Linked DNA regions of Kluyveromyces lactis. The protein of the gene in region 2 interacts with the protein of the main gene of each other region in a biochemical or structural test. Links are inferred from orthologs where the notes say so. Each region holds a gene or a part of one and is shown on either strand. Other genes may lie near its edges.

Region 1 (5,080 bases), on a different chromosome or scaffold from region 2:
TAGCAGCTCTTTTGTGACGAGAATCACGAGAAATACCCATTTTGCTTTACTGTAGATAAAAGCTTTAGTAAAAGATGTTAGTAAATTTTTCTTTCGTTTGATTGCCGTTAATTAGCTTTTGCTTGTACTTTCACAGAGTAGTTATATAAGATAACTTCAGATGCCACCAACGATGTTTTCTCTTTGAGTTAATTACTTCACAAATAATTTCGCCTTCTTGGTTGTATACTATCCCGTACTTCCCACCTTCGATATTAGAAAGCCGCTTCTTTACTCGTATGAATCTCCTCAGTTCGCTAGTTTTTTGCTACACCATAACGGACTTCCCACTGATTATTCCTTGGTAACTGTCATTCACCCTCAGTGATCTAAAACATTTTCTAATTCATTCCATCAATTCAAAACTCTTTCAAATATATCTAAACATGTAATCGCACTGTTCTCTCATTGTATTGCATCCGCTGGTTACTCCACAAAGCACAATAGTACCCACGTATAAAACATACTATTTGACCTGGCTTCTTGACCTCTTCTTGTATTTCAAGAACTATCCAATACAATAACTATAGAAGGTAACAGTATATAACAGTATACAACAATTTTGTAACTTTTCACTAGATGGAAATCAAAGTTGTTCTTTCGACAAAATGGACCACACTGCCGAGTATTGGACTGCCAGAGGGAACCAGCTCGCCCAGAGAAAGGGACAGAGAAAGCGTGAGAATGGCCAAAGGTGAGCTGGAGGAGAGACTCCTGGGGAAAGATTCTGCCTAGGTGGTAGATGGAATGTTGCTCTCTGGGCAGACGGGCAGGGATATCGACGGCAGCCAGAAACTGAATGAGTGGTGTGGGCCAGAGCATTCTGAGGCCAGAGGGGGTTTACACCGGTAGTGAGTGGCTTGGGACGGCCTGGCTAACCATTATGGTATTTGTCTGTTTTAAAAATACTTATTACCTTTTTAGGTATTAGTGAAAATAAATGAAATTGAATTATGTATGGGTGTAAAATATATGTCTGGGTTGTGATAGTCCCGAAATATCACGTGACTTCTTCAAAAGAACCAGTCCTTCTTTTCCCGGTTTTCTCAACAAGTTAAAAAGAAAAACTGAAACTTTTGACATGAAATGACAATTGAGTCAATCATTACGCTCATCGCATTATGTTTAATACCTATGTCTTCATACCCAGTGCATTCAATATTCTCTAACCTAAGGGTACGGAATTGGAATAAACTTTTGGTCAACCTGGTGCTGGCATATTGAAGAGAGAAGTGACTACTAGAAGTTAACTTAAAGAGAAAGAATTAATTATTAATAGTATTAGAACAATGTCCACTTACGATGAGGTTGAGATTGAGGATATGACTTTCGACCCAGATACACAGATATTTACGTATCCTTGTCCCTGTGGTGACAGGTTCCAAATTTCCATTGATGATATGTATGACGGAGAAGACATTGCAGTTTGTCCCAGTTGTTCGTTGATGATCCAGGTGGTTTTCGACAAGGAAGACTTGGTGGAATATTATGTGGAAGCAAATCTGGAACCACCGGGTAAAATTGCTGTAGCTGTGTAAAATATTTTTGCAGCATCACCCTCGTCATTTATCTGCATTAGTTTTGCATGGTTATACAGAGTGTGTTCTTTTAGTTTGTTTATGGTTTTCTCACCACTCTTCAAGCACCGCACTGTATATAATTTCATTCTAGGGATGATTTATCAATCCTCTGGCAAGCTCCACTATCACACTTCCATCCGCACTGGACAGTCATTAAATTCAGTTCTTACCACATCATGCATATCGTTCACAAGTCCGTACTATATACCCCGGATCGTATATATGTTCTCTGTTTTAAGCATTTTCTGTATTATCTATTGTTTCTCGTATTAAACTAAATTTCATTTAAAAAAAGCGTCAATTAAAAGAATTAGAACGGAGTTTACACAGACTTCCGCTACCATGACCCTTAACACAAGGATGCTTACCACTTCAAGCCTTTCTGGATAAATTCATACTGCTGTAACTCTTTTACCATGGCGGAAGAATTGTTAAATAAACACGATCCGAAGTTGGCATATGTGGTGAAATATAATCATGATTCACCAAACCCTAGGGAATTGGCTTCCCCTTTAGAGATGAAAAGAGTCGCTAGGCCGCTAAGACATATCCATTATGTGCCGGTTAAATCGCTAATATTCTATTCCAAAAATCATCCTCCTCAGTTCTCCTATGAAACAAAGATAAAGACTCCAATATCTAAAGATGTCATTTCCGTGCAAGTGGAATATGTCGGTTTAAACCCAGTTGATTTAAAGATATTCAATAGTTACACTAGGCATATGAACTATGAAGTTGGCATTGGAAGAGAGTATTATGGAAAAATCTCAGAAGTAGGCTCAAATTTGGCAGATACGTGGAGTGTCGGTGATGAAGTTTGCGGTACTTTTTGGCATCCAAATTTAGGTAAAGGAACTTGTGAATCTACCATTTTGGTTGATCCAAAGGTTGACGTTGTTTTACCTAAGCCAGTAAACATCAGTACTCAACAAGCGGCATCTACTTTTTACTGTCTTGGAGCCGCATTCAATATCCTTGACAAGCTTGATCAAGAGGGGAAATTAAATCAAAGCAGCAATATATTGATCAATGGTGCCTCTACAATGACCGGAATATTTGCACTACAACTCTTAAAGTTTCATTACAGGATATTGAACAGAATCGTGTTAATCTCATCTACCTCCGGTATGAACTTCATTAAGTCAAATTTGCCTGAACTAGTCGATGAATTGCTCTTCATCGACTATGCAGCAACGAACGGTAAAATCTACAAACCATTAAGCGATCTAGTGGCAAGCAATGAATTGGTTGAATATAACAATGAAACTGGAAATTTTATAACTCAACCATTTGGCCAGGGTAGCTTCAATTTAGTTCTTGACTTTATTGGAGGGTATGACATTATCGGTCACTCTTCTTCCATTTTGTCCAAAGATGCTACTTACATCACAACCGTTGGCGATAATAAATCGAATTACAAGAAAGATACTTTTAATTCATGGGGTACTGCAAGTTCTAATATTAGAAAGCTGTTCGGACAGGTGCTATGGTCTTTCGATTATCAAATGTTTTATTTTGATCCAAATGCCAAATTAGCGACAAATGAATGGCCAAAAAAATGTCATGAGCTAATAGAAAGTGAAGTTGTCAAGTTTATTCCTGTAGATAGGGTATATGATTGGAAAGAACATCAAAAGGCATTTTCCTATCTGCAGACAGGCCGTGCACATGGTAAAGTTGTTTTAAAGGTAGAGAAGTTTTGAACTTTAAGCTGCACTTATGAATATGTGCTAATATCTTGCGAAATGAATTTATGAAAAGATGTTGAACGACAAAAATGACCAATGATATGGCTACGGCTTATAATCATTGTGATATTTTTAATTTTGTATGTTTTTTTGTTCTAATTGTCTCTTATGAATTGACTATTTATATATTTTTTATGTAACGCCGTCTTAAATTGTTGAAATCTCAGGTGACGAGATCATATGAACCGCTGTTGTGGCCATAGTTGGAAACATAATATCAATAATACTATACTGTACAACACTTAGAGCCTAGAAGATGCTAACATATTTGATGAACTCATTTCATTATTAAACCGACGAAAAAAATCGCAATAGCCAAGATCAGACAAAGCAGCGATTTGATGTTGCTATTCTCGCCAGGATTTTTATCCTGATCTTTCTTATCCTTCTCGGCCTTTATAAGCTCTTGAATTCTTACTCGATCCTCAGGATCCGAAATGTCGTCTAGTGAAGTTGCTTTCTCCGTGGCTAGTTTCTGTGCTTTATTTTCCTCTTGTTGTGCTCCTTTGGATTCCGCTTCCAAAGCAGCCTCCCTCTCTATGTCCTTAATATTCGACTCTCTTAAATCAGGGAACATATTCTTGAATTTGAAATTGCTATAAGTATTAAAATGTTTCGATTTCTTAGCCAGAGTCCTTTTATCCTTATCAGAGGTTGACACCGACCCCGTTGTCTGTTCATCACCTGTCATGAAACTTAAAAGGCCATTCAATATAGTCACTACAGACCATGCTGGGTTCCACGCCTCTGGATGATAATCACTCATCGAAAGACATAGTCTAGTATTTTCCTTGAATCTGCCGTTAGGCGTAATCATGCGAATCGCCGGTGGATTAAATGGGTAGTCTGAAGGGAAAGTTAACGTTCCATGATATTGACCATTCTCATACGGAGTGCTAGGTGGACCGGTAATCACGTAATGCCATTCTAATATGTTATCTTCATGTGGTGCTGCAATAATGAATGGAGGAGGGTTGTTAACAATGTTCTTGTATTCCTTAGTCAACCTTTTGTTAGCCTGTATACTTGCCATCGTACCTTTTAACACGCAAATATGAGATACTGGGATGGTAACGAGCGATAGATTGGAACTTCAAAACAGGAAACACTTGTGTAAGTCTTTCGCAGCGGACAATATACTGTTCTTGACCTTCCTAGATCCTTCAACATTGCAATACAAAAGCATTCTTTCTCTCATTTTGGCAGAAGATACAAAAAACCTTAAAGTTAAATAAAAGTTTCTTAAATACATAAAAAATTCGATTCAAATGTCAGTGGATTCTCTATAAAAAGGGGAAAATCTGGGGTACTCACCACGAGGAAAAGCCTAACAGCTGAAAGTATTACGACCTAATTTACTATGTTCGCTGAAATGACAGTATTTGCTGCCAACTACTGCTGTCTAGTCTTTGTTTCTGCCAAATATCATTATGTCATGTCACCTTATAGTATTATGTACGGAATATCTAATGGAAGAATGAAAAGCTTTAAACAGAGTTTTTTATCATGAAAAGATACAAATTTGAATGAGTCGAAAATCACATCAAGAAAGTAATTAACTTGTAGATAAGGACCAAAGTCCGAAATAATCAACTATATCGTTTAGACAGTTGCTGTTGCCATATCCAATTTCCATATTTGGTTGCATCTGGTGCTCTGGTTTCGGTTTTTTGGAACGTAATATCTACCATATACATACTGTATGGAAACGAG
Region 2 (6,600 bases):
ATCAAAAGTGGCAGAGAACAACACTAATTGACATGTCTTGGGTAAAAATTTCTTCACACGGATACATTGATCACCTAGACCTTGTTTGTCTAACATATTATCTGCTTCATCCAACACGAAGACTTTGATTGATCCCAAGTTTAACATTTTTCTACGAATCAAATCGAGAACTGTACCAGGTGTACCGACAACTATGTTTGCAGTTATCGGCTTATTTCTTTCGAATGAATCCGGAACCACTAATTGTGAAGAAGTCTTAGTAAATTTACCCATTTCTTGGATAACTTCTAAAGTTTGTCTAGCCAATTCTCTCGCTGGTGATAGACAGATGGCCTGTGTTGAATTGACATTTGGATCTACACGAGTCAACATTGTCAATGAAAATGCTGCCGTCTTACCCGTACCAGATTGTGATTGTGCAATCATGTTATGTGGAGGATCTCTAATCAATAATGGTAAAGCTTTCTCTTGAATCTTAGATGGCTTTTGGAACTTCATTGCATACAACCCTTTCAAAAGCTCCTCAGATAGACCAAGCTCTTCAAAAGACTTTACACTATACAATGGTGAGTTTGCATCTGCCTGCAAATCGGCAAGATTAACCTTCACTTCGTATTCAGAGTTAATAACCTTGTTTGCTGGTTCTTCAGCTTTAGTCTCTTTAGCATCTTCCTTCTCAACCTTAGTTTCAGATGTTGTGTCATTGTCCTCAGATGCCTTTTTTGCAGGTTCTTTGATGTTCAAACGAGCCATCAAATCACTGGCTTCTTTGCTTAGCTGTGCCATCTTGAAGTGATTTTTTGGTTTCACCGATGGGTATGCAGTGTCACAAATTAGCAAAGACAACTTCAATAGCTTACCTCTGCTATTCTATGTCTTTAATACTTCTGTAGTTTTCAATTTCTGCAGCTTTGTAAATTTTAAACCAACGAAAGATGGAGGAAATATAGTTACCCTACCTGGTGAATAATACTAGTTACAATCGAACTAAACGAATAAATATTTATATACTGTTAATATGTGATGTAATAACTGCACTTAAGGCAGTACTGTGCAAGATATGGTCATAAATTTAGCTTGGTACGCAGTTGAAGGGATAGCATTAAAAAAAAAAAAAAAAAAATATATATATATATATGTTCATTAGAATGAGAAAGTTTTCCGTAATTGTAATTTCCAATTGATCATGACTGGATTCTGTTTGCACTGACATTGTCAGGTGTCCAATCTAAACCTAGTCTTTGGTACACTTGCAGTTGGCAATGGGACCAGACCATTGACTTTTCGTCTTTTGTTAAAGACACTTTCGTAGGTACTTCGACTAATGGCACAGGAGCTTGTTGTTGTTGCTGTTGCAAAGCCTGTTGCTGTTCAAGTTCCAATTGTTCCTCGATCTTGATTTGAGAGTTTCTTAGTAGTGCCCTTCTGAGCAGCGAATTCTTAGACTTCTTCGGTATTATTGATGGAGGTGGCATATTAGGTTTCTTTACAGTATTTTGCTGCTGAAGAATCATGTTTTGTTGGAGAGCTTGTTGTTTCAGTTGATCTAACTTCCATTTTTTGTACTCAGAACAAGCCTTCTTGAAATCAAATCTACATTGTGCCTCAACTACAATGTTAAGTAAGTAGTTCTCTATAATGTTTCTCCATTCAGGCTTCGATAGTTGCATGACTGGTTCGTGATGGCCTATTAGCTCTTCGTGTCTTTTCCTAGCTGAATTGACTGTATATTTGGCACTGGTTAGCTTAAACTCGTAGTCAAGATTAGCTTCGATATAAAGATCAGAACTTACCAACGTCGATATGATGAATTCATCTGGGGAATTCAGTGGTAATAACTGGAACCTGAACTCAGGAATAGATGGTTCCGTACCATTGTTACCCTGCAGTTGATTGAATGCTATGGTAGGAAGTTTCCCGTTCCATTCGGGCCTCAAGGACTCTATTATGAGTAACGACCTTATATCATTAATATCCCAATCTAAAAGTTCTCTCTTAGTAAAGTTCGGCCTTCCGTTGCTCATCAAATTTTGAGGATTCATCAAAATATCTGGGCTGTACATGTCGTAGAATATTGTTGGTAAAGCTTGCTCTAGTGTAAGTGTCAAAGGTTTCGAGTCCTGTTGATCTATCACAGATGACGCATCAGTAAGTTGCGTAGAAATTGTATTGAAAGAGGGTGACGAGAAAATCGAGGAACCTGTCCCTGATGACATCGTCAGCCCAGTAATAATGGACGCCGCATCCGATCCATAATCTTGTCTTGAAGATGATGCATTACTGCGGTATGAATGTAATGACCTGGCGCCACCAGTTGATCCTGAACGTTTCTGTAATAGCCGTCTCTTAATCTCATCACGAGCTCTATTGGCAAACTCTGGAGGGGCATTGACAAAATCCTTCTTTCCATTGTTACTAAGCATGGGTTGATCCTGTGGTAGACTATGCGAACTGCTACTCTTACCTTCTGGTATCGTAGCTAGGTCATTGGTTTTCCTTTTTGCGAGTACCCCAGGTAATAGATTTGTGGCCGATGTGGGCGGAGGTGAGACAAACATCTTTGTAGGAGAATATTTGTGTATATCTCGATGCCGTTTCGATTTAGTGCAAATGAATTTTTACGGCCGGTTTTTGATTCACTTTTTTGTTCCTCTTGTAAATTGTTTTCGTTAAATATGTGGCTCTGTTAACCAGCCAGAGTTTCGACCAACCTGGTAAGCCACTTTATGGGATTTTGGTGCTTTTATCAGAAAAAATATACGATAAAGGAGATCGGTTTCGAGCTTGTTCTTACTTTTTCTCTTTTTAAACGTCTGATAATCTCCGTCTCTTTGAAAGTGTTCTTTTTAAAGGAAAAATGGATATATCTAGAAAATTGAAAAATTCTGAGCCCGGAAAAAATTTGTGTCTGTATTCTACGTGGATAATCGGAAGAAAGACCGACGCACAAATGGTGATTTGAAAAAAGGTTGCTGTTTGAAGTGATACCTAACACAGGTAATACGATGACAGTTTGATACAGAACAATATATGGTAGGAATTTGGTATGTTGTATTCTTAAGTAAATTTTTGGGAATCATACGTATGGCTTGGTTAAAAGAGGGAGCCAAGTATAATATTATGCATACTTATATATATGTCAGAAGTGAAATCCACTCTGTATAGTGTGAATGGGAAAAAACCCGAGGCTGGAAACGGCGGAGAATAAACAATACACAGTGAAATACGGTCAATAAAAACGGCAGATATGTCGGGACAAAGAGCGTACGAACTTCAATTGTATGGCAATAGGCCTAGGGGGACATCTCCAGTTGTATTTTTACTTTGGGTTTGTTGCCGAACATGAATAGTTAACGAACGAATTTACTTACATAACACTTGAGACGTGAGTTTGGCATACGCACTCTACCGGGGATACTACATGAATTGAAGCCAGGGATTGCTCTGGAAACAACCTGCTGGATATTCTTCCGAGCTCTGACTATAGCTTTTGAGTGATACCCTCAGCTCATCATCCAACTGCGGATTATGCCATGTTCTGCCTTTTCTGTACGCAACATTTTTCCAGCTTCGGTAAAACTATTGGTCAATTCGCACTGGTCGGTAAATACCTTGCTTCCTTTTTTTTTTTTTTTTTTGGAGACATTCCTTAGGGAGAAAATATTATTCCAAATGAACTTTTTCAGATGTGGGGAGACATCCTTTTGCACTGAAAGGGTGTAGGAAACTGAGATATTTTTCCGGAAGACTACGTGAAAAGCTCCGGTGGCCCAGATTTTTTTTTATTGTATTTTCTTTTTGGTTGTGTTGTTCAACGAATTCGTCTACGTAAGAATAGGGTTGATATCCTTTGTGGACCGCATATGCAATAATTTAAGCATCTGTACACCGCAATGAGTTTTGGCCAGAACATTGTTCCGGGCCCGTTGTGCCCAACGATTCCTTGAATCTTGGGCATTACAAGGAGCCACGTTACAAATTTTTCCGCATGTCTCCCACTTTACTACGAAAAAAGTTGCTTCGGTCGGCCCCATAGATGCGAAGGTCGAGAATAAGATATGATGGTAGGGGAAGTGGGTCTATATTCAAGGTAAAGATTCCCAAAAATTATGAAGGGTTTATCCGGACGACATTTTTCCGAACGTGTTAACAGTTTTTTGGAGAAAACAGAGAGCCCCGGGCGTGATCAGGTGTGATGTGCTCCGGGCTGCTTATGTTTTTTGTCACATGACTGACAGGAATTATTTACCAGATAGAAACCGGAAATCTGTCAGCCAACTGCATTTAGCCTTTTCTACTACTCGTTGCATATCAAATGTGCATCAGCTGTAAACGAATGTGGTGTTTTGGTATGTCATGACACTTGCAACTACCTGACACAGCCATACCGACTCAAATCGGCGTGCTCATTCGTAATATTGTGTTTCTCTTGACATATGGCAAGTTACGAATTACTATGTTTTGGTTCCAATGGGAATGGCCAATTGGGTGTAGGACACGATGAGGACTTGATGCTGCCTCAATTGAGCTTTCAAAGTGATGGTGTTGGTATTAAAAAAGTGTCATGTGGGGGCAACCATTCGCTACTATTATTAGAAGATGGGTCGTTGTATTGGTGTGGCGATAACTCTTCTGGTCAATGCGCTTCCAGTGACATTAAAATAAGTCTCGAATGGATCCCTATTCCAGGGAAATTTCTCGATATTGCATGTGGTTGGGAAGTTACTATAGTTATTGATGAGGATGGCTGGGTTAAAACCCGTGGAAGGGGTGATAAAGGCGAATTAGGGGTACCTAGGTTGAAACACAGTACAGAATGGATTGATCTGTTCCGATGTGAAGATCCAAAAGGCTCCCGATGTTATGCAACTTTCCAGCATTGCGTAGTGGTTGTTCCGGAGAAGATATACGGATGGGGCAATAATAGGAAGCTACAAGTGTGTGACGACTCAGCCTTGAAAATCATTGAGGAACCAAAGGTGATTTATGAGGGGGATACGTCTGATATCGAGATGGCTTTAGGAAAGGACTTTACCTGTGTACTTTCCAGAACTGAAAATAAATTAATTATAAAAGGGTCATTAGCAAAAGAACTTCCCGAATTGATATCACAGTTGTCGCATGATTTCGGATCAATTGCCAAGATTGACTCTATGTGGTCCTCGTTACACATTCTTACTGGTGAACGAAAGCTTATATCCATTGGACGAGGTTCTCATGGCCAGTTTTTGGAAGAACCTCTGCCTTCAGAAACTCTGGATTTTGTTACTGGTAGTGAGCATGGGGTAGTAACTACTGCTGACATGAAAGTATATTGTTGGGGCTGGGGAGAGCACGGTAATTGTGGGTCTTTATTCAAGACAGAGACAAATCCGATCAATGACAAGAGTAACGTTATCAGCCCCCTTAATATGATAGGAAAATACGAAAAAGTTGTTAGCATCTTCGGAGGATGTGCGACCACATGGTTAGTGTTGGTTACGTGAGCACCGATTATTTTCTCTTAGCAAAGAGAAGAACGCTCTCTAATGTATATATGCATCTATGTAACAAAATGTTAAGAAGTACCTTTCCCATATTCATGTTGAAAATATAAAATATACAACCATGGCAATTAATGAAAATACCAGGCGGCTCACATGGAAAATATGTATAGACTTCTTGATTATTGATGTCTAGAGACTCGTATCACCCAAACAACTAGAAATCAAAGTAAAAATCACACTTTCCTATTCGAAAACAACAGAGAAAGATAAATCAATACGATGATTAGTAGCCCAGTTTCTTTAAAAGTCCCTTGCAAGAACCCAGATAATCACTTATCCAAGTTCTTACTGATCTTTTTAGAAGAAAAATAATAAACGATACAACTGTTAATAACGAGTTATCATATTGTAAGTATGTTGTGTGCGATGAACTTTCAGATACTTTTCGTTTTTTTTATTTTAAAACGTTCAATTTTTCTTTTTATACATAAGTCCTTCACAAGAAATAGGGCCTTAGTAACTGTAAATGGTTTATTTACTGCAATTAACTGGGTATTGCTCGTAATATTAGAGCACCTATTATAACTATCGCAAATCAGGAATCTCTTGTACTGTTTTATTGTTATGCTATCTTGCTATATCCGTGAACAATAGTAACCCGCGTATCGTTACACGAATAAATTAAGTCCGGGTAATAGTACAACTGTTGATAATCCTCGCCATAATCAGATATGTGGTCCGGGTAATATAATAAAACGATCAAAATGACGAAAGCTCAGAGTAGAGCGTATCGAGACCAGAGTGGCAACAGCTGTCACTTCTTCAGTAACAAGCAAGCTCTAACCCCCGATAGTTACAGAAACTGGAATATTCTCAACAACATAGAAAAGAACATTGGCATTTAAAGATCAGAGCTACACCAATTGTGCATCTACCTGTGCCCCGGTTCTTTATTTACCACTCACTAATATTGTTACCTCTCTTTGTTTCCACTTCTGCACAGGTTCTACTGAGTGTTTTTTCTTGTTTTCCTTTTATCAAACGGTTTTTAAGACTTTGTTTTTTCTTTGAAAGAACTAAATAAATCTTATATTGAAATTAAAACATTAAACAT

The links. The genes of interacting proteins can lie anywhere in the genome.
Region 1: the proteins of ATS1 (region 2) and KTI11 are reported together in a solved structure, tested with the Saccharomyces cerevisiae proteins (2 studies listed by BioGRID, with this or other methods). The link is inferred for Kluyveromyces lactis from reciprocal best matches to the Saccharomyces cerevisiae genes ATS1 and KTI11.

What each region holds. Positions count from the first base shown.
Region 1 is NC_006041.1:1,813,938-1,819,017, reverse strand, and holds KTI11 (Kti11p), read left to right. Parts: upstream 1-1,328; coding exon 1,329-1,577; downstream 1,578-5,080. Other genes in the region: RPS8A (40S ribosomal protein eS8), read right to left, coding at 1-40; KLLA0_E20417g (uncharacterized protein), read left to right, coding at 2,036-3,322; E2 ubiquitin-conjugating protein UBC6, read right to left, coding at 3,645-4,400; KLLA0_E20373g (ribose-phosphate diphosphokinase), read left to right, coding at 5,070-5,080. UniProt on the Saccharomyces cerevisiae protein: Required for the first step of diphthamide biosynthesis, a post-translational modification of histidine which occurs in elongation factor 2.
Region 2 is NC_006042.1:1,471,299-1,477,898, reverse strand, and holds ATS1 (Ats1p), read left to right. Parts: upstream 1-4,436; coding exon 4,437-5,486; downstream 5,487-6,600. Other genes in the region: ATP-dependent RNA helicase DBP5, read right to left, coding at 1-786; STD1 (Std1p), read right to left, coding at 1,185-2,558.